Linked DNA regions of Alligator mississippiensis. The protein of the gene in region 3 interacts with the protein of the main gene of each other region in a pairwise test. Links are inferred from orthologs where the notes say so. Each region holds a gene or a part of one and is shown on either strand. Other genes may lie near its edges.

What was found.
Region 1: the proteins of RBPMS (region 3) and TLE5 interact in binary tests that used the Homo sapiens proteins (3 or more experiments, as listed by UniProt). The two-hybrid records come from large-scale screens. The link is inferred for Alligator mississippiensis from reciprocal best matches to the Homo sapiens genes RBPMS and TLE5.
Region 2: the proteins of RBPMS (region 3) and SH3RF2 interact in a two-hybrid assay, tested with the Homo sapiens proteins (2 studies listed by BioGRID and IntAct). The two-hybrid records come from large-scale screens. The link is inferred for Alligator mississippiensis from reciprocal best matches to the Homo sapiens genes RBPMS and SH3RF2.
Region 4: the proteins of RBPMS (region 3) and C6H1orf94 interact in binary tests that used the Homo sapiens proteins (3 or more experiments, as listed by UniProt). The two-hybrid records come from large-scale screens. The link is inferred for Alligator mississippiensis from reciprocal best matches to the Homo sapiens genes RBPMS and C1orf94.

Annotation. Positions count from the first base shown.
Region 1 is NC_081839.1:3,804,978-3,812,054, forward strand, and holds the start of TLE5 (TLE family member 5), read right to left. Parts: upstream 3,006-7,077; 5' UTR 2,714-3,005; coding exon 2,687-2,713; intron 2,024-2,686; coding exon 1,926-2,023; intron 136-1,925; coding exon 72-135; intron 1-71. UniProt on the Homo sapiens protein: Transcriptional corepressor. Acts as a dominant repressor towards other family members. Inhibits NF-kappa-B-regulated gene expression. May be required for the initiation and maintenance of the differentiated state.
Region 2 is NC_081832.1:64,689,580-64,696,689, forward strand, and holds the start of SH3RF2 (E3 ubiquitin-protein ligase SH3RF2), read right to left. Parts: upstream 3,001-7,110; 5' UTR 2,647-3,000; exon of another isoform or gene 2,508-2,646; intron 1,359-2,507; 5' UTR 1,287-1,358; coding exon 861-1,286; intron 1-860. UniProt on the Homo sapiens protein: Has E3 ubiquitin-protein ligase activity. Acts as an anti-apoptotic regulator of the JNK pathway by ubiquitinating and promoting the degradation of SH3RF1, a scaffold protein that is required for pro-apoptotic JNK activation.
Region 3 is NC_081825.1:169,286,536-169,294,241, forward strand, and holds the start of RBPMS (RNA-binding protein with multiple splicing), read right to left. Parts: upstream 3,023-7,706; 5' UTR 2,939-3,022; coding exon 2,876-2,938; intron 1-2,875.
Region 4 is NC_081829.1:7,529,549-7,536,665, reverse strand, and holds the start of C6H1orf94 (uncharacterized protein C1orf94 homolog), read right to left. Parts: upstream 3,009-7,117; 5' UTR 2,947-3,008; coding exon 2,702-2,946; intron 1-2,701.

The DNA.
Region 1 (7,077 bases), on a different chromosome or scaffold from region 3:
TTCGCCAGCCTGCCCCACATCCCATCGCACGGGGCCCGCCGTTGCCCCCCGCCACCGGGGCAGGGCCTTACCATGACGTAGTGACGCTGCATCTCCGATTTCTCGCTGGCCAGCTTATCGCATTCCAGCTTCAAGCTGAAAGAGCAGAGAGAGACGGGAGCACCGAGAGCCAGGCCTGCTACCAACTCCCCTCGTCGCCAGCCGTTTCCTGCGGGCTCGTACAGCACCTAGCACGACGGCTTGACCCCTAGATACTATTGCAAGACTAAACAATTTGGGGCTTTTTTGTACAGCACCTAGCCCCGCGGTCCATAACCGATGCTCCTAGATAGAAGAATTAAGACGATGCTAATGACACCAGACCACCCAGCCACGAGGTCTTCCAAAAAGCTACCCAAGAGCCAATCTTCCATCTTCTGGAACAGAAAAGGCAGGAAGGAGGAAGAGTTTGACCTCTTGTCTATGAGAAAGGCTTGGGTCTGATCCCACAGCTGGGACCCAAGTAGAGTCAGGGGTCACAGGGCCATGACACGGGTCCAACTGCAACATTTGAGAAATGCTTGTGCTATTAATAAGTCAGACACGTAATGAGGACTACGGCACAGCTGCAAGGCCACCTCTCCCAACAGGTTTTGTGGTGCTCTGTGGGAAAGCAACAGGAACTCAAACATCCTTAAAAAAAAGAGAACAGAAGATACTACTTTTCTCTATTTAAATGTAATAAACCCGGTGATTTTTGGCAGTCGGGAGCTCAGCCATCATGTGCTGGGGGGGGGTTGGATTTCCAGCGAGAACCAGCTTTGCTCGCACACAGCCCGTTTCTCTTCCAGCGGATTAAACCCAGCAAATGTCTCCTGCTGAAAGACGGTGACTGCGGATATGTTGCTAGCGCTCCCGGGCCCCGCAGCTGGCACGGCTTCAGAGCAGAGGCACGCTGGAAAGTCGGCCTTCCCGATGAGCGACCTCGGGCCGCCACACACCTCAGCCGCTGGGCCCTGCGGGCAGGATCCCGCGCTCCTGGCATCCAGCAGGAAGCAGGCCGAGACACGGAGGACCCGGGGAACGTCGGCGACGGATGGGCAGCTATGGGAGGTCGTATCGGAGGGCATGAAATAAGCCAGGCCTAATAATTAAGGGTACTCTCGCCTGGCAAATTGAAGCCCGGCGTTTTAGATTTCAATACCCCAAAAAAAGACGCAGATAGTGATGGCTCTGGAAGGGTTTGGAGAGGAGCATTTCCTCCCAGCGTCTGCAGCCAAAACACTGCAGCCCTGAGAAAGGCATGTGAAACTAAGCAGAGATTCACAAGGGGCTGGTCTAATCTCCCCGTCCTGGCCCAGCGAAGGGGAGATTTAATGCTTTCATCTCCAGTTAGCTACAGGGTCACCTGGGATATCTTTTAACTTGGGCTCATTGCTTCTCATTCCAGCTGGGGAATCTCTTGAGCCCTGGCAATCCCTGCTCTCAGGCCCTCAAATGCAAGCTGGGGTGGGGCAGCGCATGTTGCCCACTCTCTTGCTCAGGGATTACCTGTGCGTGCAGAACCGTCCCCACCGATGGGATCAATACCCCGGAGACCGCAGGCAGAGCCAAGCGGGGAGACATTGCAGGGATCCTGCTTTTATTCCTGCCGAGTCTGTCCAACAGTTTCTCTACCTGACACTCTTTGCATGGCAACACCTCCGAGGGGGGCACCCCGAGCCCTGCTCTGACGCTAAAGCTAGCGAAAGACAGGCCGCCGGCTCCCGAACCCAAGCCCCTTCCTCCGGCATCTGAGAGCACCAGTCATGGCAAGAAGAGAGGGGGGCCCTCCCCGAGGCAACATGCAGCCAGCTCCCCGGGGTAGGGGGGGGCTAGGCCTGGCAGACCCTGTCGCGAACACCACCCGACCGCAGTGCCCGCCAGGCCGGCCTCGGCTGCCGTACCTGTGATACTGCGCCTGCAGGAGCTGGAACTCATCCTTGATCCGGTCGCAGGAGTCGGACGTCGTGAACTTCAGCTGCTGTGGCAGGTGAGAAGAGCCCTTGAACGACAAGGAGAAAGCGCTGGGTGGGGGGGCAGAGCCTCGCAGCCTGGATCCCTGCGCCCTCGCCTGCCCCGGGTGCAGGTGGGGGTTTGCAAGCGGGTGCCCCCCCACCCCCAGCTGCCGAACGGCCCCTTCGGCAGCACCCGAGGGGGCTCCGGCTGCGAGACGTGCTGGCATCGACCCCCCCGGCTGCAGGTGGGGAGCGAGGGGACACAGTCAAGGTCAGCGGCGGCCTCCCCAGACCGCCGCACCCCCCACGACGGGTGGGGAAACTGAGGCACCGGGCCGCGCTGTGCCGGCGCCGCCTGCACCCGTTCCCCAGGCCCGGCCCTGGCCTCCCAGCCCGGAAATACAGCGTTTCCCCCAGCGAGGAACGCCAGGCAGAGCCGGGGCGAGGAGGAGGAGGAAGAGGGGGGCTAGGGCAACACCGCTCCTGCCCGGCCGGGGAGGGGGCGCGGGGAGCGGGGCAGCCGGGGTGCAACCCCCCCCCCCCCCCAACCCGCGCCCGGCCCCGCCGCGATCCCGGGCCCGGCCAGGCTTTGCAGCGGGGCCGGCCGGCCGGCCTGCTCCACGCACCCCCCTCCCCGCCCCATGCACCCCCCCTCCAACCCGCATGCACCCCGCAATCCGTGCACCCCCCCGATCCGTGCCCCCCGGTACCGAGTGGCGGCTTTGTGGAAACATCATGTCAGGCTGCGGCCGCGATCCGGGTCCCCGCGCGGCTCCGTGGGCCGGGACCAGGCAGCTGCAGCCGGCTCCGCCGCGCCTTTGTCCCGCCCCGCTCCGCTCCGCAGCGGCGCACCCGGCCGCTTCCCCCGGCGCAGCCGCGGCCCCGCGCTCGGCCCCGGCCCCGGCCCTGCTCCCGCTGCCGCTCCCGCTCCCGGCCGCTCCTATTGTCTAATGGCGGCTGCGGGCTCCTGTCCTGCGGCTGATCAGCACCGCCTGCCGGGCCCGGCCCTGGCCCTGCTCGGCTCGGCTCGGCCCTGGGGCCTCCTCCGGGCCAGCGCCTGGCGCGGGGGATGCGCCTGCCCCACGGCCGCCCCGCACCGCGCCGCCGTCCTAGGCAGTCTCCTAGATCCTAACGAGACTCCTTGATCCTAAAGACACTCCTGGATCCTAGGGAGGCTCGTCCATCCTAAAGAGACTCCTCCATGCCAAGGAGACTCCTCCGTCCTGGGGAGTCTCCTAGATCCTAAGGAGTTTCCTCGATCCTAAGGAGACTCCTCAATCCTAAAGAGACACCTTGATCCTAAAGAGACTTCTCAATCCTAGGGAGATTCCCAGATCCTAAAGAGGCTCCTAGGGAGACTCCTCAGTCCTAAGAAGTCTTGTAGATCCTAACAAGACTCCTGGATCCTAAAGACGCTCCTGGATCCTAGGGAGATTCCTCGATCCTAAAGAGACTCCTAGGTCCTAAGGAGATTCCTCAATCCTACCGAGTCTCCTAGATCCTAAAGAGACTTCTGGATCCTAGGGAGACTCCTTGATCCTACAGACACTCCTAGGTCCTAAAGAGACTTCTGGATCCTACGGAGACTCCTTGATCCTACAGACACTCCTAGGTCCTAAAGAGACTTCTGGATCCTAGGGAGACTCCTCCATCCTAAAGAAACTCCTCCGTCCTAGCGAGATTCCTCCATGCCAAGGAGACTCTTCCGTCCAAGGGAGTCTCCTCAATCCTAAAGAGACTCCTCAATCCTAGAGAGATTCCTCGAGGGTAGGGAGGGTCAGGGATCAGCCCTCTCCAAACCACCCCAGACAAGCCCGTCAGCAGCCCTGACATGACACGGGCCACAGGGCAGGCAGGGGGACCGCACGGCCCCCTCCTCTGTGCACACTGCAAGGGGTAGAGCAGCCCCCTATTTACTGGGTACCGTCGGGCATCTCTTGCCCCCATCGCTGGAGCTTGCCCTCGAGGGCCTCCTTGCCCGTGTGTGGCCCGCCGGTATCTGGCCCGCGTGGGGGCCCTGCTAGCTGGCAGCAGTGCCATGTGGTCCTGCCGTGCGGCTTGGCCTAGAGCGGGGAAGACAAGATCGGGGGAGCTATGAGGGCACCTTGTCTCTGGGTGAAAGGCTAGAGCAGGGATCGGACGTGGGTCCGAGGGCTTGGATCCTGGCCGCTTCCCATGGGCCATAATAGGAGATGAAGAGTGGTGGCAGGGCTGTCACCTTCTGTAGCCTGGACCCAGAGGAGGCGACTGGGGCAGGGAGTAAAGACTGGTCTTGTCCAACAAGGGGTGTCGCTTCTGCAGCACGTGGTGCTGGGTGGAAAGGGAGTCTTTGGCTTAAACTCTACCCGCTGCTAGCTGGGTCCCCGCGGCAGCTCAGAGCCATCCTCCCCCATTAGGCAGTGTTGCCAGGCTGGCTTTCTCATGCCGTCCGCCGCAGGAGCAGCACGTGCCGTTTGGGCGGGGGTTTCACTTCCCCTGACTTTGACTCAAGGACGCTGTTCTGTGTCCGAGAAGGCCGGGGAAGCAGCGGGCCTGGGGAAGGCAGCAAAAGGTCACGTGGCGCCTGGTGAAGCTCAATGCGTGGTCTCAGATCGGTGCCCAAAAACAGTCCAGTGACGGTGCCCTTGGCGCGGAGAATCCTGGTATCTCGGAGGGGCAGGAGTCCTCAATCCTTCAAGCTGAACCCAGGAGGGATTGGGAGTAGGGAGCCGTAGCACTTCCCAACCATCCAGAGCTACGACCGACCGGCCTGAGGGTGAAGCACCCTGCGCTTGTATGTGACTGGAGAGGGCTCGAGGGCAGCGCCTAGCGCCATCGCCCCATGTCGCCAAGCTGCGGGATGCCTACCAGGCTGCGATCCAGGCCAGGAAGTCAACTGGGAAATGCACCTTATTTCTTTCCAAGACATCCGGTGGCAGATGAGACTGCTGATCCTGATGTTGGGTATTAAAGCAATTGGCATATACTAATGAGAGGCCAGATCCTTGTGATATATGGAATAGAGGCATGGGCAGAAGTGAGGGCTGGGTTAGGGTTTGCAAAAGGCTGACTGTTTGCAGGGCTGGAGGTGGGGAAACAACCGAAGGATGCCCAGTTAAAAATGCAGACAGACAGGCAGAAGGAATCAAAACTCATGGTAGATGTGATAAAACCAACTAGATTTTTGCAAAAATAAAAATATTTGCAACCTGAGTACCTACAGACAGACAGGCAGGGCCAGGCGGCGGCAAAGCTTGCAGGACATGCAGCATCATAAAAAATGAGGGTGAGAAGGGAGCTCAGGAGGTCACATCTAGCCTAACCCCCTGCTCCAAGCAGGACCAGCCCCAACTACATCATCCCAGTCAAGGCTTTGTCTAGCTGGGTCTTAAAAACCTCCAAGGATGGAGAGTCCACAGCCAGACACCATCATCTTTTGACCCCCCCACATGCCTCTGTGAGTGTTGCAGTGTCACCCGCACAATAACAACTGGGCGTTGTGCTTGGCACGAGCAGGAGAGACTCCCTGAATCCGTGGGCAGACGGGGCCGAGACGCACGTCTTCCATGAGGCCTTTGGCTCAGGTTGCTGGCCGGAGATGAACAGAACGGGAATGTCAGGGTCAAGCTGAATGCAGCGTAATCGCTGACGGCGGATTCAGAGAGACGAATGACCGCCCCGTGGTAACAGAGAAATTACCAAGGCTTGTTTCACGTAACAGAACCCATCCGGAGCCCACGTGGGGAAGGTACGCAGCTGTACCAGGGCAAGGACACAGCCATTCACTCAGGTTGGAAACAGTGGAATGAAAGCCAACACCCACGCTTGCCTTGAAGATTCGTCGACAAAGGCAGTGGCTTGCATGGAAACGTTCCCTGGATGAAGGCAGAGCTTCACGGCCGAGCCTTTGACTGGAGATCAAGGGGTTCCAGCTCACTTCGAAGCTGAGTCCCCACCTACCTTCCTGACCAGTCCCCACCACCTATTTACTGCCCTGGAAGCAAGAGGGGTTCTCCGACAGTTTGGAGGGTGTTGGACCGGCTCCTGCATCTACCTGAATCCTCCAGAGAATTCGTGTTCTAGGCAGAGCCCTGGTACCGCTGGGAAATGAAGGAGAAACTAAACCTGGCCTGGCATTAAAAATAGATGTTGAGTGCAGTAGATGATACAGGGTAAAAGTACAGTTGGGTATTTTGAGTGCCGAATTCTGTCCCCACCATTGAATGGAAGTTGTGAGTGGCCTTGAAATACAGCACAGCAAGAAACCACGGCACCCCAGGTAGCTCGGGATGTGTTACACAGGTGAGAGATGGGCACAGGATGAGCGCTGGCTGCTGCTTTTGCTAACACTTGGTCTCTGCCCCTCTGCCGGGACCAGGCCAAGGCCCTAGATTCAAACTGTGCCAGGACCTTAGGTCCAAGCTACACCAAGACCCTAGATCCAAACTGCACCAAGATCCTAGGTCCAAGCTATGCCAAGACCCTAGATTCAAACTGCGCCAGGACCTTAGGTCCAAGCTGCACCAAGACCCTAGATCCAAACTGCGCCAAGACCCTAGATTCAAACTGCGCCAGGACCTTAGGTCCAAACTGCACCAAGACCCTAGGACCAAACTGTGCCAAGACCCTAGGTCCAAGCTACGCCAAGATCCTAGATCGAAACTGTGCCAAGATCCTAGATCCAAACTACACCGGGAAATTCCAATCCAGAGGCATACTGTGGTTCCACCTTTGCAAGGGGAGTTGTGCCACCGATTTCCTAGCATGTCCTCAGGCATGCAGAACTAAGCATGTGCCTTCACGTCAGCAGGATCAGGTTCTTTGCGTCCCTCCTGTGACTCAGGGACGCAGGCCAAGAATAACAAGCACAATACAAAGAGTGTGTGCATGGGTGTGTGTGTGGAGGGGGGGAAGAGCTCTTACCCATTTCAGACGCTTGATGCATTGTCTCAGAAAACCAGTGCCTTTTCTGATTCCAGCAAAGCTCCCAGGGCTGCAGTGAAGGGACCAGGCCGTTGCCATATTTATTTCTAAAGAGCACAATCTAGAGGGCTGAGGTCTTGTGGCACCGACTGTGCCTTGTCCTGGAGTGTCTTCTCGGGCACAGCCATGTTAATGAACA
Region 2 (7,110 bases), on a different chromosome or scaffold from region 3:
GCCTCAGGATGGAAGAAATGGCACATCAGGAACAGGAGGTCTAGTGCAGGCAAAATTAAACTTCATATCAATCTTTACTGCAAATGCAGATGAACCCACCCTTCTTTAGAAGGTAAAATGAACCCACCCTTCTTTAGAAGGTAAAATACAACTTGTATTTAATTATATTATGCATAACTGTCATATAATAAGACTATATTGTATCATTTGTTTAGCACGGATATTAACTATATATTATATCATACCTAATGTTCATTATATAGTAAAAACAATTGTACTGTTATGGGAAATGGCAGAAACAATGTGGGACTTTAAAATCAGACTGGACAAAGCATTAAGGGAAAAACTGTCCTAGGAAAAAATAACCTTATTTAACTGCCTTGCTCTTGTATAGCATTTTCTATCACTAGAACTCAGGCAGGAGAGACATGAAATATGAAGGCTTTTGAAGGTCTAACTTCTGTGATTCTGCATTCTTGACTTAATGCAACCCTGACTTTGGACAGGTGATAGACACAGCAAAATATCACCTGAAAGTTGGAGCACACAATATTTCTGGCCTGACTGCTGTCAGGTAGCACCAGAAAATTCCTGAAATTGCCTTCTTGAAATCTTTGCACTCAGAAAGGCAAGCTATTTTTGGATAAGCTTAAGATTGAATGTAGTTACTGCTGAGATCAACTCAAAATATCCAAATATCACAGGGAGAAAGCAGACAGCTTTATCAAGTGAAAATAATCTCACTCTCTCTCAAGTATTTTTTTCAGTGTTACTAACATGAAGGGTTTCACAGCTCTTGGCACATAATGTTGCAACTCTCTTTGCCTATGAAGATACTAAGAAACATGAACCCTGCTTACCCCTTCCATATGGATCCTGGGAGTTGGTGCCAGCCTGTATTGATTAAGTTGTAAACCTCTTGGGACTCTCCTGATGGAGGCAGGAGAGGACAGGACCCCAGATCTTTGGAGTGAACCAAATCTCATAACATTTTGTCCACATCTGACACCATCCAGTAAGCGAATTAGGAGCAAGTTGGACGGTAACTCTTCAATACTGCAGGAGACGAGAGTTCTGCATTCTGGGCATCTCAGCTCCTTCTGGGATTTCAGTATTCTCTGCAGACAAGGCTTGCAGAAGGTGTGCTGGCATGGTAGCACCTTGGCTGTGACATCTAGCTTTTCAAAGCACACAGGACACTCCAACAGGTCAAGTAAAGCTAAATCATCCATCTTCAGTGGAGAACTTGAGTTGTAAGCCAGGCCAGAAAAGTCCACATGATACATTCACTTGAGCATAGGTGGCTCCTTTTCATACCCTCAAAAACGAAGCTGTAATCCTAGGATCAGAAAACCATCCTGCATGAAGCAAAAGGGAGGGGGAAAAAAAAAGAGCAGAACTTCACTGCTACAGTATGTAATGTATCCCACCTACATTGCAAAGCAATGCCTCACGAGCCAATTTGCAAATGTATACTTTGCTCTCGCATCCAAGTCTGAAGTGAGTCATTTATGATTCAGTACTAGCGAGAAGAACAGTATTCAGGCTCAAATCGGTTGCAGAACAGATCCGGGCTCTGTTCGCTAGGGCAGATAAATAACTGTAGGTTACAATGAGTTAACCATATTAATTCATGACTGTAAATCAAAGCATCATTGACTGACTGAAACAGGACAGGAATGTTCCTTCTTGCGTGTAACATCTGAACACTTTAACACTTTAATGCTACGCAGTCTCCTGCTTACCATGTTAGTTATGAATACAATAATAAAAGATTTCCACCTGGTTAGGAGATGAGGTAAACATCATTGAACCTTATTCACACACACTGTCTCTATTACTGTTTAGCTAAACACACACACACTCACACGCATATACACCCACATCATACAACACCCACATGCTGTTTCATTTTTAAGATCCTTCCTAATTAAGCTTGGTTTCTACTAGTTTTTAGCAGCAATTCTATAAAGCCATTCAAATACAAGTATTATTCTTATACCTAGTTAAGGAGCTCTGCAGTCGCATCCTCACCTGCCTCGCTTATTCAAAACAGCCCCAAAAGTAATCATTATTCCTCCCACAATGTGAAGTCACTCAACCTGTTTAGCTCCTTTTTCAGCTGCCTGTTCATTTGAACTGAAACATGTATGAATTTTGGATTCAGGTCATGGCTTGTGGAAGCATGTATAGTTCCTTAACACATTCAGAGGCTCTGTGTGTATGTGTGTGTGTATAATCCCAACAAGATCCTATTTACCAATAATCCTTTTTCTTCTGATGTTGAAATACATGTTGATAACCCTGAAACCTTCCTTCTGAAAACCCACTGAGGCTTATTTGTTCCACATGGACACAGAGATTTTGTACTGTACTTTTGCCTAGTAATCCTGGTCGATATACTTTGGACCCTCTCCCCACTAATGAGAGAAGGTTATAATCAGTTTAACTGAGCCTTCATTTGTTAAGCAAAATCTAGAGATCGTTAATTCTTGAGTACCACTAACCTTGTATTTGTGACCCTTCGTAGGCAAGATCAATTCTGCACAGCTGAAGGGATGACAGCTCACTCCCTCCCCAAAATGCAGCCCTATTGAAAACTTTAACAACTATCTATCTATGTTACTGGCTTACAGATCAACTTACTTGCACAGCCCTGTTAACTCCATCACTGCCTGATGGATCCTCTCCAGAAAGTTTCAGAAAGAAGCTCCTGCTTATTGGTCCTGGTTAGGAGGCAGACGCTGGGTTGGAGGATCTGACCTCAGTGGAGGTATTCTGGACGTGCACTGCAGAAGTGAGATAAGATCCTGGCTCTGAGTCTTTCTCTATACAGCTGAGCTTGTTTCTGAGAAAAGGGTGGAACCACTTTTAAAGCTTTATTCTTAGGAACTCTCAACTAAGCAACACAAAACCAAGAAAAAAAATCTGGCTTCGTGTTGCTTTCTATTTCTGAAAATGTATTTAACTCAGCATTGTAAAAGCATTGGATTTATTATACTGGAACAGACCAACGGTCTATATAACTAGTTATCTGCATCCAGCACTGACCGATACTGGAGGCTGGTGACCCTCCAATGGCATGTGCACATGTGATACTTTCTTAAGAGGTGGGAAGCAACTGTCTGATCAGATTTGATGATCTACTTTGTTTTGTAGTATTGTATCATTTACATACAAACGGTGTAAGGGCACATGGTATTTTTGTTCATGTGCCTTTTATTAAAACTTACAAAGCTCTTTGCCTCCAGCTCCTCATGTCATTCATGTCAGTCTGTTCCACAGGTTGTGTTCCACACAGGCTCACAAAAAAGCGTACTTACTCCTTTCTAAATGTTTAATTCATAGCAAAGATAACATTGTGACAGCCTTGTTAGGAAGCAGGGCAGTAAAGGCCTGTTTTCACAGCCTTTAACACACTATTTGATAGTTTCAAAATAGAACAAGGCCTGGGTATATAAACATACTAGTTGGTATATACCAAAAGGCATATTTTTAAAGCTCTTAAATGCATATTTAATTTAGCTTGGCTATTACATTTACAGTAGGTTAAATGCTAACCAATTATTAAACTAATTATTGAGACTTATCACAGTGTGGCAGATATTATTTTTGAAGGAGTCAAGTTATTAATCATTGGTAAAGGCATTTTAGCCTTCAATGAATGCAAAATAATGTACTGTACTTCATTCTGTCATTACTATGTAGATAGAAATTCCAGGGAAGTAAAGTAATCATTGGCAGGGGGTGGTTAATTCACTTCCAACTAAATCTAGGCGGCTTGTTTTCAACTTTGCAATGATACTCATTTGAAGGGATAGTCTTATTTTAGACCCAACTCTATCCAAATGCTCTCCATTATTTATTTATTTGCTGTTCTTCAGTAGCATGGAGAGGCTCCAGTTAAGACTGAGGTACCTTGGGGAGAGTGGTCAGAGTAGAGAATCTGGTCCAGGGAGTTTGGGATCTGGGGTAGCAAACTGTGCGCTAGCTGTTTCTAGAAGTGATCCGGAGGAAAAAAGTCCTGCCCTTGTAAGTCCCCATAAATGTATCCCAGACACAGCTACTTCAATGAAACTATTTCATCTACAGTTCTTTTTTTCTAGTAATACTTGGACTTATAAATGCCACAGACAGCAGGGAGCCTGCTCCTGCTCCCATTAAATTAGCAACTTCAGTAGGAGGAGAACTGGGCCCAATAGGCATGGGGGATTTTTTGAAGTTTTCCAGCTCAGCAGGATTTACAGCTCTGCAAGTTGCTGACCCTTCATCTCAGAAGCTCAAAACTCTTGTCTGCCCCCGGGGCACTCAGTGCACTTCAGTATCACACCTTAAAATAACAGCATCTAGCACTGAAACAAACATCTTCGCACTTCTGTTCAACAAAGCATTGTCTAATAAGGATTGTTCTCTAATTAAGTGCTAGCTCCAAGTTATAACAAAATGCCCTGTCTAGAAATTGGACAGGCAGGCAATGGAAGGAAATTCATGGTGCCTATTAATTTCTGTTGTTGATATCAGCAGCTCCTGTTTTATCAGTTGACCTCCTTTCCAGATCCTTGCCTTTGCTCATCTATTCTCATGCGTTGGCTTTGTAGCAAGGGAGATAACTAGATGTAGGGATGAGTCAAGCAGATTTTTCTCACAAATTTCTGCCATCTCGCAAAAGAGCATGTTTTATTACTGTACAAGTACTCCAGGGAGGAGAAAGGGATTTGAATTTAATTTAGCGATTTGTATTTGCTCCAGTTTCATTCAGTGCTTCTGGTAGGTCTTTACTCTTAGCCATATTTCTCCTCATCCCCTCTATAAGCAGCAATAAAACAGGGACTTAATTTTGAGAACAGCTGAACACAGCTGGTTGAACCCTTTATAGCCAAATTTTTCCAGCAAAAATACAAATTAATTGAAAAAGTTTTCCATATTTTGCCCATTATGATAATTTTACTTAAACCATGTTTAATCCTTAATCTGCTTTGGATAAAAATACTGGCAAAATAGCACTGTACTGAATCTAGTCCTCCTGGGTGAGGTGCTGGGTGATGCTTCTTTTGAAATTCCATCCTGGGTGATGCTTCTTTTGAAAATCTTTCTCATTTAGTTCAAAATATTAGACTACATGTTTCTATAACCTTAGAAGAGGACCTGAATCTAGCATCCAATCCTACACATCATCTTGCAGGGCTGGATTTTATAACATAGCAATTGTTCTTTGAGGATTTGAGAGAAATAGCCTTTCAACTTTTCTGTCTCTCTGCTTTCAACTTTTAGTTATAAACATTTACACTTATTGTAATCACATGGGAATGTCAGTTCATACTTGGACTTGGAGTAATCATAGCAATCTTTTTGTTAGGCAGTTCCCCATCTACAAAATGAAGAAGATGGGGTGGAGGCAGAGGGATTGACATTCTTCATCTGTCTTGTATGTGTGGATTGTCTAGCACAATGAAACCTTGATCTTGATTGGAGTCTCTTAAGTGCCACCCTAAGATAAAATATATTCCTTTGACTATAAGACACTTTAACAGGAAATATTTCCTCTAAAAATACCTGTCTTAAGTTTGAGTGAAAAAGAAAAAGTAGAGAGCTCTAATATGCATTATAGAAGTGACTTAATAGAAGTTTTATTTTTTTCTTTAAATTGAGTCTGACAGTTGAAGTGTGTCTTAAATAATAGTACGTCTTATAGTTGAAAAAATATGGTAATATCTATAACAATATTTAGCAGTTATACAATCCTTTAAATCTGCAAGGTTTTTTTTCCCAGGCACTAATTAATCTGTGCATGGTCCTTGAGTATAAGTATTATTCCCATTTTATAGCTGGGGAGCTTGGGATATGTCGATCAGTTTGCATAAGGCCGTACAACAAATCAGTGTCTGAACCGAGATTAAGTTATGAGACTTTCCTGGATCCCAATCCATGCTTAGCCCATTGTACATAACTGATTTGGCAGGTATTTAAGCACACATTTTTATCTGAGGGGTGTTGGTTCTGGCTGTGCTGGTCTAAGGACACAGGCAGACAAGGTTATTTGGGTAAATGTAATATCTTTCAGGCGCCTGTGCCTGAAAGCTTGTAAGAATATTTTTTCCATCTATTCAGTTGGTCTAATAAAAGATATCACATTTACTCAAATAACCATGCCTGCTTGTTTTATGTTAAACATAGCACATATTTAGCCTACATAATAGCACAGATTACCATTTCCCCAGAAGTATCACTGCTAGTGAAAGATTCTGTTCTGAAATCAATTACAGAGGACAGAATGAACACATCTAGCTTCATAGGAATTTCATAGGAATTTGTCTTCCACTTCCCACCTGAGTCAGATTTATTGTTATTAATGGGAAGAGCAAAGTCCCAAATGAATTGCTCAATGTCTGAGGTGGTGTGATGAGGTGCTGTAGTTGTCTTCTTGGCTAAGTACAGACATTCAAAAAGCCTGAGCCTGAATCGATTCAGTCTTTGCAAGTTAGTTTAAACTGCATAGGCTGAACCGAGAAGCAGGTGAATAGACATTCACATTTGATTCCAGAAATGCAGCCACCTGCATGCAGTGGCTAAGGCTAGGGGCTAGAGCAAGCCCTCCCTTCCCTTTGGCAGTGGTAGAAAGGGTGGAGGGAAGCTGGGAGAGAAGCCCTCCAGGCTTTTTCCCCCTCCCTGCTCAAGCTAGTGGAGGGGGGGTCATGGCCAGGCCTTGGCAGGCCACTGAGTATGATTGGAGAGGGGTTTAAATCCCCACTCTGACCTGTACAGTCCTCAGCCAGGGTGTGCCTGGAGCGGGGAAGCAGCCCCTGCCAGGCTCTTCTCTGCTTGCTCTTCTAGTGGCATGGGTGGGGGCACCCTGAGGCCAAGACCAGCGTGGACCCCAGTGAGGGTCTGCCTCGCAGGAGCGCGGCAGCCCCTGCCAGGCTTTTTCCTGCTTACTGCTGGAGCAGTGAGGCCAGGGTCATGGCCAGATGCCAGCCCAGGCCAGCCCCCTGAGGTGAAGTGGGGGAGGAGAGGGGTTTAATCCTCCCTCCAGCTCCTGCAGCAGCAGCCCCTGCCAGGCTGGCTCCTGCCACTTGAGTGGCAAGTGGGGAAAAGCCTGGCAGGGGCTGCTGT
Region 3 (7,706 bases):
AGAAGGTGTGCTCTCTATATAAAAGGAGCAGTATGCTTCCTTGGAGTCCCAGATTGGTTCAGGAGAAGGGCGACTTGAGACCCTGTGGGTAAAGATATGGAGGAGAAGGGGACTTGATGGTAGGCATTTAGTACAGACTGCCACACCAGGAAAAGGACCTGGACCTGGAATTTTCCAGTGAACTGATGGAAGCTAGGAGCAGGGCAGGGTAGGCAGGGGGGTGCAATAGATCCTGGGATGCCAAAAAGTGATCTTCACCATAAAAAGGTTGGAGACCACTGCTCTAGGAAGAGACTTGTGAATCCCCATAATAAGATTATGCTAAATGTGAATATTCAAGTACTTTGGTAAGACTGTGCCTTCCCTGGAGATGCACCAGTAGCACATGTGGACATGTGTACACGTGTATAGACATGCCCACGTGTATAGGCATGTGATGCGTATGCGGGTGCACGTGCACCCCCCGAGCGTGGCGGTGCACCCCCTACAAAAAGGCAACCGCTGACACTGCTGGTGGTGCCTGTGGGCGGTCGCTGCTTGACACCCCCCTCCATCCAGGCCTTCGATACGGTATCCCACCCCATACTGGTGAACAAGTTAAGAGGCTGTGACGTGGATGACTACACAGTCCGGTGGGTGGCGAATTGGCTAGAGGGTCGCACCCAGAGAGTCGTGGTGGATGGGTCGGTTTCGACCTGGAAGGGTGTGGGCAGTGGGGTCCCCCAGGGCTCGGTCCTTGGACCGATACTCTTTAATGTCTTCATCAGTGACTTGGACGAGGGAGTGAAATGTACACTGTCCAAGTTTGCAGATGACACAAAGCTATGGGGAGAAGTGGACACGCCGGAGGGCAGGGAACAGCTGCAGGCAGACCTGGATAGGTTGGACAAGTGGGCAGAAAACAACAGGATGCAGTTCAACAAGGAGAAATGCAAAGTGCTGCACCTAGGGAGGAAAAATGTCCAGCACACCTACAGCCTAGGGAATGACCTGCTGGGTGGCACAGAGGTGGAAAGGGATCTTGGAGTCCTAGTGGACTCCAAGATGAACATGAGTCAGCAGTGACACAAAGCCATCAGAAAAGCCAATGGCACTTTATCGTGCATCAGCAGATGCATGACGAATAGGTCCAGGGAGGTGATACTTCCCCTCTATAGGGCGCTGGTCAGACTGCAGTTGGAGTACTGCGTGCAATTCTGGGCGCCACACTTCAAGAAGGATGCGGATAACCTGGAGAAGGTCCAGAGAAGGGCAACTCGTATGGTCAAGGGCCTGCAGACCAAGCCCTACGAGGAGAGACTAGAGAAACTGGACCTTTTCAGCCTCCGCAAGAGAAGGTTGAGAGGCGTCCTTGTGGCTGCCTATAAGTTCATCATGGGGGCGCAGAAGGGAATTGGTGAGTATTTATTCACCAAGGCGCCCCCAGGGGTTACAAGAAACAATGGCCACAAGCTAGCAGAGAGCAGATTTAGACTGGACATTAGGAAGAACTTCTTCACAGTTTGAGTGGCCAAGGTCTGGAACGGGCTCCCAAGGGAGGTGGTGCTCTCCCCTACCCTGGGGGTCTTCAAGAGGAGGTTAGATGAGTATCTAGCTGGGGTCATCTAGACCCAGCACTCTTTCCTGCCTATGCAGGGGGTTGGACTTGATGATCTATTGAGGTCCCTTCTGACCCTAACATCTGTGAATCTATGAATCCACCAACACCACTGGCGGCCTCTGAGGGAGGTCCACGATCACCACTGGCCGCCACCAGCAGTGATCATGGACGTCTGCAGGTGGTCACTGACCGCTGCTCAATGCTCACCACCACCCCATCACTGCCACCAGCACCGCAGTTGCCTGTGGGATCTCCACGCTTACCACTGCTGCCAACGCTGCTGCTGCCTGCTGGAGCTTGCCGTGCCCCTCCAGCCACTGGGGCCATGTGGCATTCATGGGCATGCCTACAGGCATTGCTGCTGAGCCAGTTCCAAAATGACCCAATTGCTTTTCCTTAAACTGGTGAGCACCCACCCGGATGAAATGACAAACCAGAAAACCTCAATCCTCCAAGCTTTCCTGCAGAGTTGGGGGAGATCAATGTCACCACATGCAGCCCTGAGCTGACCCCCAAAGACACAGCTGCTCCCCAGAGGGCAGTTCCTCCAGCCTAAACACTAATAACACTGATATGCTTTTCCTGTGCTGTGAAATCTCACTCACAGCACAGGGGGTGCCAGACACATACATTCATGTGCAGGAAACCTAGTAGTGTGCGGGACATGAGAACGATACCAGTTCCTAGGACTCTTGTAAGCCCAGGGCACTGCACTGTGTATCTGGACATCACCAAAAAATGGGGGAGAAGGGAGGTACTGGTTATTTGACTGGCTAAGCAGAATCGTGCTGCACACAGATTTCCTGGCCTCGCCTGCAACGGAGTGGTCTTCAGACCCCGGAAACAAGCCACCTTTCAAGAACCGCAAACGGGTCTGAGAAGTTGCACTTCTCTCCCAACCCACCAGCCCAGGTCTGGGTCCAAGCAGCAACAGAGCCGAGGGGGGCCTGAGAGATCCTTAGGACTTCTTCAGGGTCCCCAGCCTGTGCTATACCAATACCGGGATTTTAAGAAAACCAAACGACAAATTAGGTAGGCGAATCTGGATGCCACGTTCCCCGAATAAGAATGTCACGGGCTAAAGGCAAGGAGAGGCTTCTCCTGTCCTGCCTTCCCCTGCCCCCGCGGAAGGGCGGCGCTTTCGAAGTGGCGGCGCGGCAGGGCCGCGGGGCCAGGCTGCCCGGGGCTGAGCCGGGCCAAGGGCCGCTCCTCGGCCCTGCCCCGCGCCCAGAAGGCGCCCCAGCCCCGGCCGCGCCCACGCCCCGCGGCAGGTACCTCCTCCTCGGGCGGGCTGGCGTCGGCGGCGCCGCCGTCCCTGTCGGCGGGCAGGCTGCTCATGGTCCGGCGCTGGCTGGAGCCGGGCTGCGGCGGGCGGTGCTGAAATGAGCCCGCGGGCCGGGCGGGGCGGGAAGGGGCGGCACGCACGGGGCCCCCCGTCGGGGCGGCGTCCACAGCCGCCCCGCGGCCCCCACCAGGCAGGGGCTGGGGCGGGGCGGGGCTTGGAGCCGGGGCGTCTCCGCCGCGCCGCCTGGGCGGGCAAGCCTGTCCGCCGAGGGGGCCGGACCCCCGCGCTGCTTGCGGCGGGCACGGCGCGGAGGGACGGATACCCGGGCCGCCCCGTCCCTTTCAGCCAACTTCATGTGGAAAAGCGACACCTGGCGCTGGTTGTTCAAAGACCCCCGCACCGGGAGGGGAAGCGGGCAGGGAGAGCCAAGAGGACAGAGATGCAACTGGACCTGGAGGCAGCGCGGAGGGCTGCAACAGGATCCGCAGCAGCGGAAGCGACAGCGACAGTGAATGAACTGAGAATATAAACCTCAAATCGGTGCCTGGACTAAAGGACTGCGATTGGGGTAGGTGAGGGTGGAGGGTGGGTGCGCAGGGGATTGGGTGCGTTTATTGTAACGGGAAGTGCGGGTGTCTTAATGTGGCTTTAAGATGTGTGATGGAAAGCTTATGATAGAGGATATGTATATATGTGTATGTATGTATGTATATGTATATATATTTTAATTTTTTAAAAGTCCCTTTTCTAAAGTATCCCGCCCCTCCCCCATGCCCTGCTGCCCCACTTTCAGCCCCAAGCCTCTCTCCTTTCTGTGTTGAAATGACGCTTTCCCTTGAGTGAAGCACTGGAGCCAAGGAGGTGTGACCCACCAGCTTGCAGCTGAAGGTGGGTGAAAGGAAGCTGGAAATAAAGTGTGGAAAGGTGCCAGGGGTGACTAACCTACCTGGGGAACAACCCACCTGGGAACATGGTGAGCTCCCTGAGATAGAAAACCTTTCAGGCCAGTTTGGGTGTCTCTTGCAGGCACATGCACTCTGGCCCAAACAGAAACCGTGGGCTCCAGCAGGATTCCTGGGGCATGCTTTGGCCTTTGTTACAAGAGACCAGACTAAGAGGATCTGCCACAGTATGCCCTGCTGGGCTTCAGATCTAGAAAATCAAAGCTGAACCAAGCCTGCTATACAAAAGGTAACATCCCAGAATTGCTACCCACAGCAGGCAGTTGCAAAAGGATTTGATGGGGGTGTCTGGAGCAACTGAGGGGGGAATTAATTTAAATCAAATGTTAGCTTTAATATAGTTTTCTCAAAGGAAAAAAAATATCAAGCAAGACATTGGTGTACAAGTACCTGGCTCCAAGCCAGCTGTCTTCAGAAAGCTGCATTCCAGGTGGAAACACCTGTGTTACTCTCTGGCGCTCTGCCACTGCAGCCAATTCTGTATAGAGGACGTAGCCTCTGTACAGGTCTACTTCCTGGGTTAAGACATTTTCTCTACCTGTATCCAGGTTCATTCCCACATCAGCTTCACAATACAACAGGTACCCTCATTGCATGCAGGCTCCACCTGCTGTCTACTCATCCCACTGAGCAGGGAGCAAACCCAGAGAAGAGGTGGCTGCACAGCCTGTGGGACAGAGGAGAGACCAGGATGTCCCCCACTGCTCCACTGGCAGTGTGAGAGAGGGAGTCCTTCCAATTCTCTGGAGCCATAAGAGATGCTTCACTGAAATGGGTGAGGTAGAACTGGGCTAGACTCTGGGAGATTAAGAGTGAGCCAGCAGAGACAACGTCACCCTGCAGAGCTGGCTGCCATCAGAATAGGAAGAGACAGACATGACAAATGGCTCCACTGCTAAACAGCAGGAGCTCGGATGCCAGATGGAGGGGGGCTGTACCTGCTCTGACACATTCCCTTTCATCCCTGGGGATCTGGCTTCTCTGGCACTTTTTGGTATCATTTGCACAGTGGCAAGGCCAACAGAGACCCACTGGATTTGACTGAGATGACTAAAGCACACTAGCAGCTGTTTGTGGCCAAGCACCCCCTGCAGGAGAGACAAAAAGGAGGCTTTCAAATCAAGAAACTTTTATCCTGTGAACTTGTCTTTCCCAGCTAAAGCACCTATTCAGTACTGGCCATTGGGAGCATCTACACATTCATCGATGCTCAGTAGTTACTGACCATTTAGTTTAGTACTTCCTTAATGAAGTACTAACTAAATGTGCAGTAACTACAGCTACTGTGCGGTAGTGCTGGCACATGGTTTTTTTGTGATGGTTACTGCATAGTAGCCTAATAACACTGTGCAGTATGTACCTCATTAGCATGGTTTTTAACCGGCATACTACTGCTCGGTGTTATTAGGCTACCTCACAGTAAGCGTCTTGTGTAAACACGCCCACTAATTAACCTCTGCATACCAGACTGGCAACAAACTACCCCTATGATCCCCGAAATTGTGGGTATGGATTTCCTCCCATGCCTTTGTGCTGTTCCCATTAACAAATAGATAAATAAAGGAACCAAGGAGATTGTTTCAAGGGCAAAACCTTTTTCTGAACCTAATTCAGTTCACATCAGGATACGCAGCAATGTGTGACCTGTCCTTCTGCTGCTAACCACCAGCCCTAGGAATGGAAAATCTCACCACCAGTGTTTCATTTCCACTGGACTCCTTAATGCCTAGCTCATTAACAGGCCAGTAATAACCAGCCCTCTAAAGCAAGTACAGTATTCTAGGTCTGCATACAACAAAGCAAGCTGTGCTTTAATGTCTTTTGCCATTTCTGAACACTAGCTAGTGATCTAGAAAATGCCCCCAGATTAAATTGCTTGAATGGTTACACTTTGACCTTGAAGCAACACAAGTCAATTTGCTTACATTACGGACAAACCTAAAACAATTTTTTTTGCCGTATATTTCCCTACTCTGGCGAGTGCTGAAAGTCAGGAACACCACAGATGTGTAGGACAAAGTTCAGCATTTGGGATTTTAAATCTGAGAAGTAAGAAGTACAGATAAAAGCAAAGATAAAAGCAGATATGCTTGACAGAAGAAGCAGAGTGTACTGAGATAGCTATCGGGACATGTTGGTTACAGAAAAGAACTCGTAATTAAACTGCAGGATAGGCACCTAGGGCTATGTCTTACCCTTCTGAAAATCATTGCGGAAACAAAAGTGCCAATAGCTCCATGTCTGGATAAGGGGTCAGAGTCACAGCATCTGCCCTTGCAGTTGGATCTTGGCCACTCGCTCTGCTGCTTACACATGAGCCAACACAAAACCCAGCACCTTCCCCATCAACTGTTGTTTCTGCAGCTTGGACAGAAGTCCAAAGCAGTAAAAACTAATTTCTTCCACTAAAGTAAGTGGGTCGGGCCCTATAGCAGGGGTGGGCAAAGTCTAGCCCATGGGCTGGATCTGGCCCATGGCAAACTCCATTTCCCAGCAGCCCCTGCCCACATTGCTGTGTCCGGTTTCCATGGAGACCCCAGCAGTGGCAGTGCTGTGACAGTGCATGGCCAGGGTTTCCATGAAGACTGGCTCCAGCAGCACTGGCAGAGAGTGCAGCTGGACGAGGAGCTGCTCCAGGGCTGGAATCTCACGGCACTGACGGAGTGGTCTGAAGTTGGGGCAGAGCCACTATCTGGCTCTGTGTGGTCCAGAGCTGTGGTGTGCAAGCAGCGGATCCTCTGGACCATGTTTTCACCACTGCCAGATCTCAGCCCCGGCCGTGGATCAGGTCCCTGCCTAATGTGCCCTGCCCTGTGCCCATACTATCACGGCACCGCCACTACTGTGGTCTCATGGAAACGGGCCACAGCAACATGAGTAGGGGTTGCTGGGAAATGGAGTTTGGTTCCTGGCTGGATCCACCATTCTGTCCATCCCTGCCCTATAGGGAGAGCCTTTAAAATGAATACATTAATCCAGGGCTGTCCAATTTCTGAGCAGCTGTGGGCTGCACCATCCCATTGCCACATTTCCATTGGCCACACTGCCCACCAGTTGGGCAGGAGGAAACTGAAACTGGAGAAGACCTAGCCTGGAGACCCTGACTACCTTCAGGGAGCTGGGGGAGAGGAAGGGAGAGGAGGAAGAGGAAGACGGTGATCACAACAGAAGCAGAAGCAGGTAATGAAGGGAGGCAGTGATCACCAAAGGAGAGGCACCCCAACCCATGGTGGGAAGTGTAGGGAGGCAAGGATGTAAGGGTAGCAGGAGCCCCAAGTTAAGCTCTTTCAGGTTCCATGCAGCCCATAGGCACAAATTGGACAGCCCTGCATTAGTCCATCCTTCCAGGGACCTCAAACTTCTCTGGAACAAGGAGGGCCAGGCTCAGGCAGGTGAACAACACCCAGGGGGCAAGCTCCAAATCCAGGCTTCAGGAAGATGCTAAGACCCAGGTCCACTCTCCCTTCAGCTTCAAAGCTTCCCTGGGTAAGTGGGAAGAAATCTTTCTTTGCCTTCACCTGCCTTCTGCCTAACTGCTCACAGTACCATCCTGTCTCAGAGGAGTACGCTGATGGAGGCCATGGAAGTATTTCAGAGACTGGTTACCTAGGTGGAATGGTCCAAGACTGTTCCTGATTTTTAAGTCAATACTGTTTTTCTGAGCGTAGAGGAGGGCCTTGTTATTTCATCGTTCTTCTTCCTCCCATTTTCAAACACCTTTTGCTTCCTTGATGGTCAGCTCTTCTCAGTGTAGCAGTTATGGAGGGTTGACATGGGCTTCTAAAGCAAAAGAACTTTGAAAAGATGCAAGTACTCATTACTCTGAGCCCCTATGCTGATGCCTGTGAGCAGGTGATAG
Region 4 (7,117 bases), on a different chromosome or scaffold from region 3:
GCAGACCTCACCAAATAGGACCCCGAACACTTCACCCAGAATCCCTCTGTCACCCCCCCCACCCCGCCCCCCAGCCTGTTGCATATGATTAGTGTGCCCCCACCCTCCAGGAGGTGGAGCTGGATTAGGTTCCCCTGCACCTCATCTGCATATAGGCTTTGGAGGATCCTTTATGCGGGTGTATCTTGGAGTACACACACGTACTAAGCCGTGCCAAGCTGTGTGGTCACCTTGGCTTGAAACACTGTTGACTCTACTAGGGCCCAGTCCAATGAACTATGTGGCAAATCATGAGCCTTTTGGCTGATATCATGCATAATTTGTAGTATATCTAAAGAGGCTTCTAGTCTCTTGTGAGCTAAGATCAAGTGGGGGCATCTGAACCCCCAAGTCGCTGGGCTTGGGCCCATACATAGGATGCCTACCAGTGGATCTGGAAGTATCTGAAGTCCTAGGGTGAGAGCCTGGGATGGAGGACGCTCACCGGCTGTAGCATCATACATGGTGTTTAGTACAATTGAGTTCTGCCTGCTCAGTCAGTATGGTTTTTGGAACAATTGAGCTCTGCTCCATCGATTTATGATTTGAAACTGATTTGGCTAATTTGATCTGGAGTTAGAAATTTATAAAAATATCTAAATAGGTACAAAAGTGCTGCTTAAATGTGTTTATGGAGTATCTGTGCTAAAACTTGCAGCAGTTTCCAGACAGGCCAAATGCATATATTCTGGATGAACTAAGTCTATGGGTATGAGAATCTATAGTCATCTGCCTATATGCAAATTGATATCAAGGTTAGCATTTTCAGATTTGCCTCTCACTTTTGCATGTGTTTAGAGAGAGCAGTGTCTGATGGTAAGGGGTTTCAGGGGGAAGAATTTGGGGGGCAGAGGGCAAGGGGGCACTTTATAGACACACACACACACACACTTATTTTCCCTGCTCTTGCAGTAGGAGGTGGACAAATTCAAGTCGCATCTTCAATAATTAGTTTCTATACCTGGAAAATTATTATTGGGGGGATCATATTCGAGTAAATTAGGTACTTGAAAGACCAGTTGGCTGTTTGTAATGAAGCTTCTGTATGCTAGGAGCTGTACAGACATAGAACAAGACCAGCCCTGCCCCAAAGAGCTTACAGTCAGATAGACAAGAACAGAAATGACTTGCTGAACGTTGCCCAACAAGTCAGTGATAGAAGTATGAGTAGAATACAAATCCTATGGGACCAAGGCTGGTACCCCATTTACTGGACCCCACTTTTCTTTTCTTTCTTTCTTTTTTTTTTTAATGGATAGAAAATGAATGTGATGGGTCACCCCTGTTCCTAGGCATCTCCCATCATACGCTGTACCCTCTGGACAGCCCGAGATTGCAAATGCAAAAGGAAGAGTATTGCGGTATCCTCCTGTCTCCTCCCTAAGTGTGACAAATTCGGTGCAACTGCGTAGCGCGTGGGCAAGGAATTACGAAAGCTGGCTGCACTTGCTGTACCTGCTACATCAATTATAAAACTCAAAAGTATGTTTCTTCTAAAAATCATTTCATTTCTTAAAAATGGGGTTTTTCATTAAAATTCAGATGAATATTTCATAATTGCATGTAGGGTCTTGTACTGCCCATACTAATGGAGCATCTTCCAGGAGTGCATTATTGAGATGTACATGTTTCACATGTCCATAAAGATGTCTGGGCCCAGTTCTGTCATGTCATCTATGTGCTGGTGTGACTCAATTGACTTCAGCAGATGCTAAAGGAGAACGGTGACTCAATGTGCGATACCGTCTACAAAGTCCATACTGCATTTTGGATAGAGAAGGAAACGATGCGGAAGTTGGGACTCTTGGCTTCGAGTCCTGGATATACCACTACTTCCCTGTGTGCCATTGATCCAAATACTTTCCTTTTATTCCTCAGTTTCCCTATCTGTAAAATGGGGATGGTGGTACCAACTTGCCTCTTTGGGAGGCATCATGAATTCTGGTATTAACAATTATTTACTGCATCAGATTAAGATGGACCAGGTCTGTACAGCTGTTACTGGTATGTTGTGTTTTTGTTTAAGACCTGGGAAGTTGCCAACATGAGCTAATTAATTGCTGGGTTTGTTAATTTGACAATTTTTTTTTTTCCTGCTGCAGGAATGTACTATAAATATTGTCCTTTTTAATTTAAAGAGTGTACCTTCTTTCCTCCCCACAACTTACCCTCTGGAGCGAGACTTGGCAGAGAATTTTTTTTCTGCCAAATCCAGCTTTTCTTTGTAAAGATCAGCTGTTTACAGTAGTTTCCTTATAACACTTTAATTTTCGGTTCTGCTCTTTTGAATGCTTCTTTTGCTTCTTCCTGTAAATATTTTGATTTTTTTTTTTTTAAAGCTGCTGTGGGGAACTGAATGCAGCAGCTGCTTACTGTGCTTCAGAATTAGATGTGGCTAGACATCACAGGACGTCATTTTGCATAGAGAAAAAGGATCCTCTTCAGCTTCTGTGATTTGGGCTGTGAAAATAAACCCCTTCTCAATCCTCTTCCCCTCCCACCCACACCTCACCCCCTACCCCCCAATTTCTCTTCTCAACCATGTTGAAAGAACATTTCATGTATTTTTATGCCGGATCCCAACCTGCTGTGGGCCACAAAGCATAAGAGGGGGGAGAAGCCATTTGAATTGGAGAGGGGGTGGCAATTTGAAATCACTCACTCTTGGGAGGCCCTGAGGGTCTCTGGCGGCTCTGGGGGGCAGGTAGGCTGGAGGAACAGTGGTGATGTAGGCTGGAGATCTTCGGAGAGACCTTGAACCCTCTTCCAGATGTCATGGCAAGCTTTGTCCAAGCTGTCCTGAGGAGTGTTGTGGTGGATCCAGATGTGCCGTGGGAACGGCCCCAGAGGGAACGGCCCTTTGGGGCTTACTGTCGGACCCTGGGGCCCGTTTTCACCTGTGGGCATCTCTTCGTCTCTTTGCACCCAGAGACCGAAGGCCAATTTTTTTTCAAAGAAAGGTTTCCTGCGGGTACGGAACGGAATGAATAGCAACAAGCCGCGGTAGCTCGGTAACCGCAGAACCCCCGGGCCCGGCAACGGATATGAAGGATAACAACCAGAAGCAGCTGTCGAGGTCCCAGCAGCACCCACCCGACCACACGTAAAAGGGAACGCCAGGTCTTTTTAGGAAGACTGAGAGCAGCAGCCGCCGAGGCGTCTTGCAGATTCGGCCAGCCCGCATCTTAAAACAGCCCTGATTCCTCCCTTAGGTTGAATTAATTTCATATTGTATCCTGGTGCCCAGGGGGCTCCTTCATCCCTGTGGCCCTTGACATTTGTGTCTCTTCCCAGATGCCTATGTTGGGTCCCCTTCTTATCCTCGGCAGTATAGGCTGAAGCAAAGAGGTGGGGTGGGCATGCAGGGGATGCTAGAAGAGACAAAGGCAGGAGGTATGGATGTCCTGTAGTGCCTTGATCTCTGTGGGGGGAGCAGTGCGTCTCCCTGGTGCTCCTCACTAACCTCTAAGCCCTGGATTGCGCCAGGTCCTAGCAAACAGTGGGGTCCAGTGGAGAGCCCTTTGGCATGAAGTCCAACCTACGCTCTGCGCTTGGCTTGGTTGCTATTTGAGCTTAGACAGCCAATGTAACCCTCTTTACTGCTCCTCTTCCCCATCCAGCTGTTTGTCTGTTTTGGCGATTTTTTTGGATTCTTCTGATTTGTCTGGGACCAGGACTCAAGTGCTAGCATAATATCACTAGCTGTTCCTGCCATTTTCTCTTACCATCGCTACAAACCGGTCCAAGGCATCCTTTCCCTTGTCTTCATTGAGTCTTTTGCATGCTTGGAGCCAGGAGTGGAGCATCTCTCCCACTGTCCTGGACTGTGCAAAAGAACTAGCTCCGATTCTTTTTTTTTCTTGGCGTTTCCAGCGGAGCTGGAGATGTATACAAGTTAAAATGGGTTTACTGCACATGGCTCCTGCTGTTTAGGTTGATGCATTTCCACAAGATAGACTGGCTCCTTGCAGAACTGTGCGTCTTTCTACAACTTCCCCTCCGTGGATGCGGCTAATGGTATGGCGGGGGAACGTGGGGCATCTATTTCCCCTTCCACTTGCCTCGAAATTCAGGGAAGATGTTGCTGGGAACTCAAGCGTTTATTATGGTGTGACCAATAGAGTGTCCTTTGGTTCTCATGGATGGGTCTGAGCTATGACATTTTGGAGCTTGTCAGCATTGATGAATATTTGCTTTGTTTCTTTTTAACACTTTTCCTATGCAGCACCAGGCACTAGCCATTTACAAACACAAGATACTGGAACATCACTTTCTATTTTAGTAATATGCTGCCTTCATGCACTAGCCATTTTTGCCCTTTACTAGCTCGGATGTTTGAGTGATGTCACCCTTTGGTGCCTGGAGCACAACAGAAGAGAAAATCCTGAATTCTGGTGCTCCAGTGAAGATGACTATTCATCCTACATAGTGCGAGTCTGCATTTCTGGAGCAGAAGCTTTGGAGTGCCATTTCTGCTGCAAAGGACAAAGCATCATGACATTATCATGGGCTCATTTGGGGGCAGGCGTGCTGGCTATAGTTAAAACTTATCCCATTTCCACTCGGTAAGGGGAGGGCAATCTGAATGGAAGGTAAGAAATAGTGCAAACCAAATTTTAGAACCGCTATTTACATTCTTAAAATAAAAAAGCCCCCAAAACACTCGCCCAACTCCTCGGACAGCTGTGCCCACAATGCCGGACTGTACAGAATCAGCAGGCAAGCCAGGCTAAAGCTTGCATGGGAAGGTGCATGATGCTGCCAGCCGATCACGTGTATTTATCAAATGAGGCCTGTCCCTTGTACTCCGGGCAGGCTCACCCCTGCGAGCTTCCTCAAATGTGGGAAACTCAACTGCACAACGTTGTGGAAATGGGGGACTGTGTTCTCGCTTTCCTCGTGGCTCTCTCGTCGGCCTTTGGCTAGGAGCAAGCAAGACCAGGGGGCATTGTCCAAACCCCAGGGCCTTGGGGCTTCAATGCAGGATACCTGCCATGGGGTTGGGGAATATCTGAAGCCCCAGACTGATGGGTCTGGCAGATACTTGCCTAGTGGTAGAGCCATACAAACTTGAATGATGGCGCTCTGCTCAGTCAAAATTTGGCACTTGACTATTGGGCTTTGGCCAATTGAATTCAGAACTGATTTGGCCCTTGAAACTAAATTTAAATTAAAAAAAAAAATGTACACATTCAGGTGAACAATTGTGCTCTTCTATTTTTTTTTACTACCAGAACTATTGCATCTTTCTTTAAACTCCCGACTTGTGCAGAACCTCCCCTCAGATCCATATAAAAAGTGGACTCGTATGCTCTCTCTCTCTCTCTCTCTCTATATATATATATATACACACACACACACACACACTAAACAATAATGACTGCAGCTTCTGTGTTAATAGAGAGATTATTCATATATGTGGCTGTTGCCTCCTAGTTATGGCCAGATTAAAACAGTTTTTATCCAGTGTTTGGTTAACAAAGGATAAATAAAATGCATCTCAGCACTTACCAACACATATGTCCCTATGCAGACTTGTTAATTGTAGCACTTTTAATCGCGAGAAATGCTGTAATACTCGCCAGCCCAAGTGAATTCTAGGATTCCTCCTTCCGAGCTGCACTGACAGCATAGAAAAACAAGTGCTGTGTAGGCAGTGGAGTAAAAGAGCCTGGTGTCACCCCTCCTGGACGATGACCCGGGTTTTGGCACCAATTTATCTGTGACCTTGGACAAGTCCTTTCCCCTCGTCTTGTCAAAAGGAGGGTGAGACACTCAGGGAATAACACATCGGGATTAATATTCTGCATTGCTCTCAGGACCATGGACGGAAGACATTCAGAAGCATTGCAACTTGGATGATGGACGTTTACAGGGAAAGAAATAAAGGAGTACCTCTGCCCTGTCGCTGAGGCTGGGGGAGGAAAGCGCATGACAAAGGGGACAAAAGAAGGGTGCTGAGTGTCTTTCTTGGGATAATGTGTTGCATGTCTTTGCAAGTCAGACTCCGGCAGTTGGAGCCCTGGTTCTGACGGTGGGTGGCAGTGCAGAGCAAATATTCTCTGCTCCTAGTGGGTGCTTTGATTAGACACAGGATTTGCCTTTCTGAGATAATTTAGCAAGCGGAGAAAGTACCTGAGTAGTGGAGGTTAAGAGCAGACGGTTAACCAGAACCTCTGCCTCCCAAAGAGGGCAGGAAGAAAAATCTCTGCTGCAAACTGTCAGGAATTGCAACTGCTGAATTCCTCACTCCTTGCCCATTTAGCAAAGGCATGCCAGTCTTTTGAGAGGCTGAGACCCTAAACCCAGCAAGTCAGGGGGGAAGCCTTAAAGACTGATTTGAAAGAGATATGAACGTTACTAACCTGGAATAAAGTGGGATTATGTCTTCTCAATGGCTTTATTATGCCTGCATATTGCTCTTGATCTGGTGTCGGTTGTCTTTGGCTCGCCCTGTAGTCTGCTGCATGCAGCAAGCCAAACACATCTTCCTCTGAATGCAATTTCAGGGATTTTTTTTCTTTCCTCCCTTTTGAGGGGAACTAGCTGTATAAGAGAAAAGCGATGTATGGAGCTGAGCAGTATAGTACCCTGCTCTCTGCTCCTTTTATATTTGGATCTATGCCTTTGAACAATCAGATCTATTTGAATAGGACACTGCAGTTTAAACCGATATAAAGCAACTCTTTCATGTAACAGCCCTGGTTGCCTTGGCTCTTGGCATCAGTTCACAATGTAGGCAGTGGAGGGATTGAAAAGCAGAGGGGACACAGAAAGTGAGCGAGTGAGAGCAAGCGAGAGGATTGATTCGGGGGTGGAGGGAGACATTTGCAAGCCCTCTGTATAAATTGTTTTTTAGCTGTCAGATGAGCTCATTCAAGGCAACCGGAACAAGTCTGAAGAAGGGGGTTTTGCAGCAAGAAACTGCAGCAAATGCAAAGCACCAACGTGGGGGGAGGATGGGTGACTAGTTCATTAACACCCCCCCACTCCAGACCAGAGGGTAGAAGGGATGGCAGCTCCTTCTGGACCAGCAATGCACCTGGCACTATCCAGCCCCCTCTCTCCAAGCTCCCCC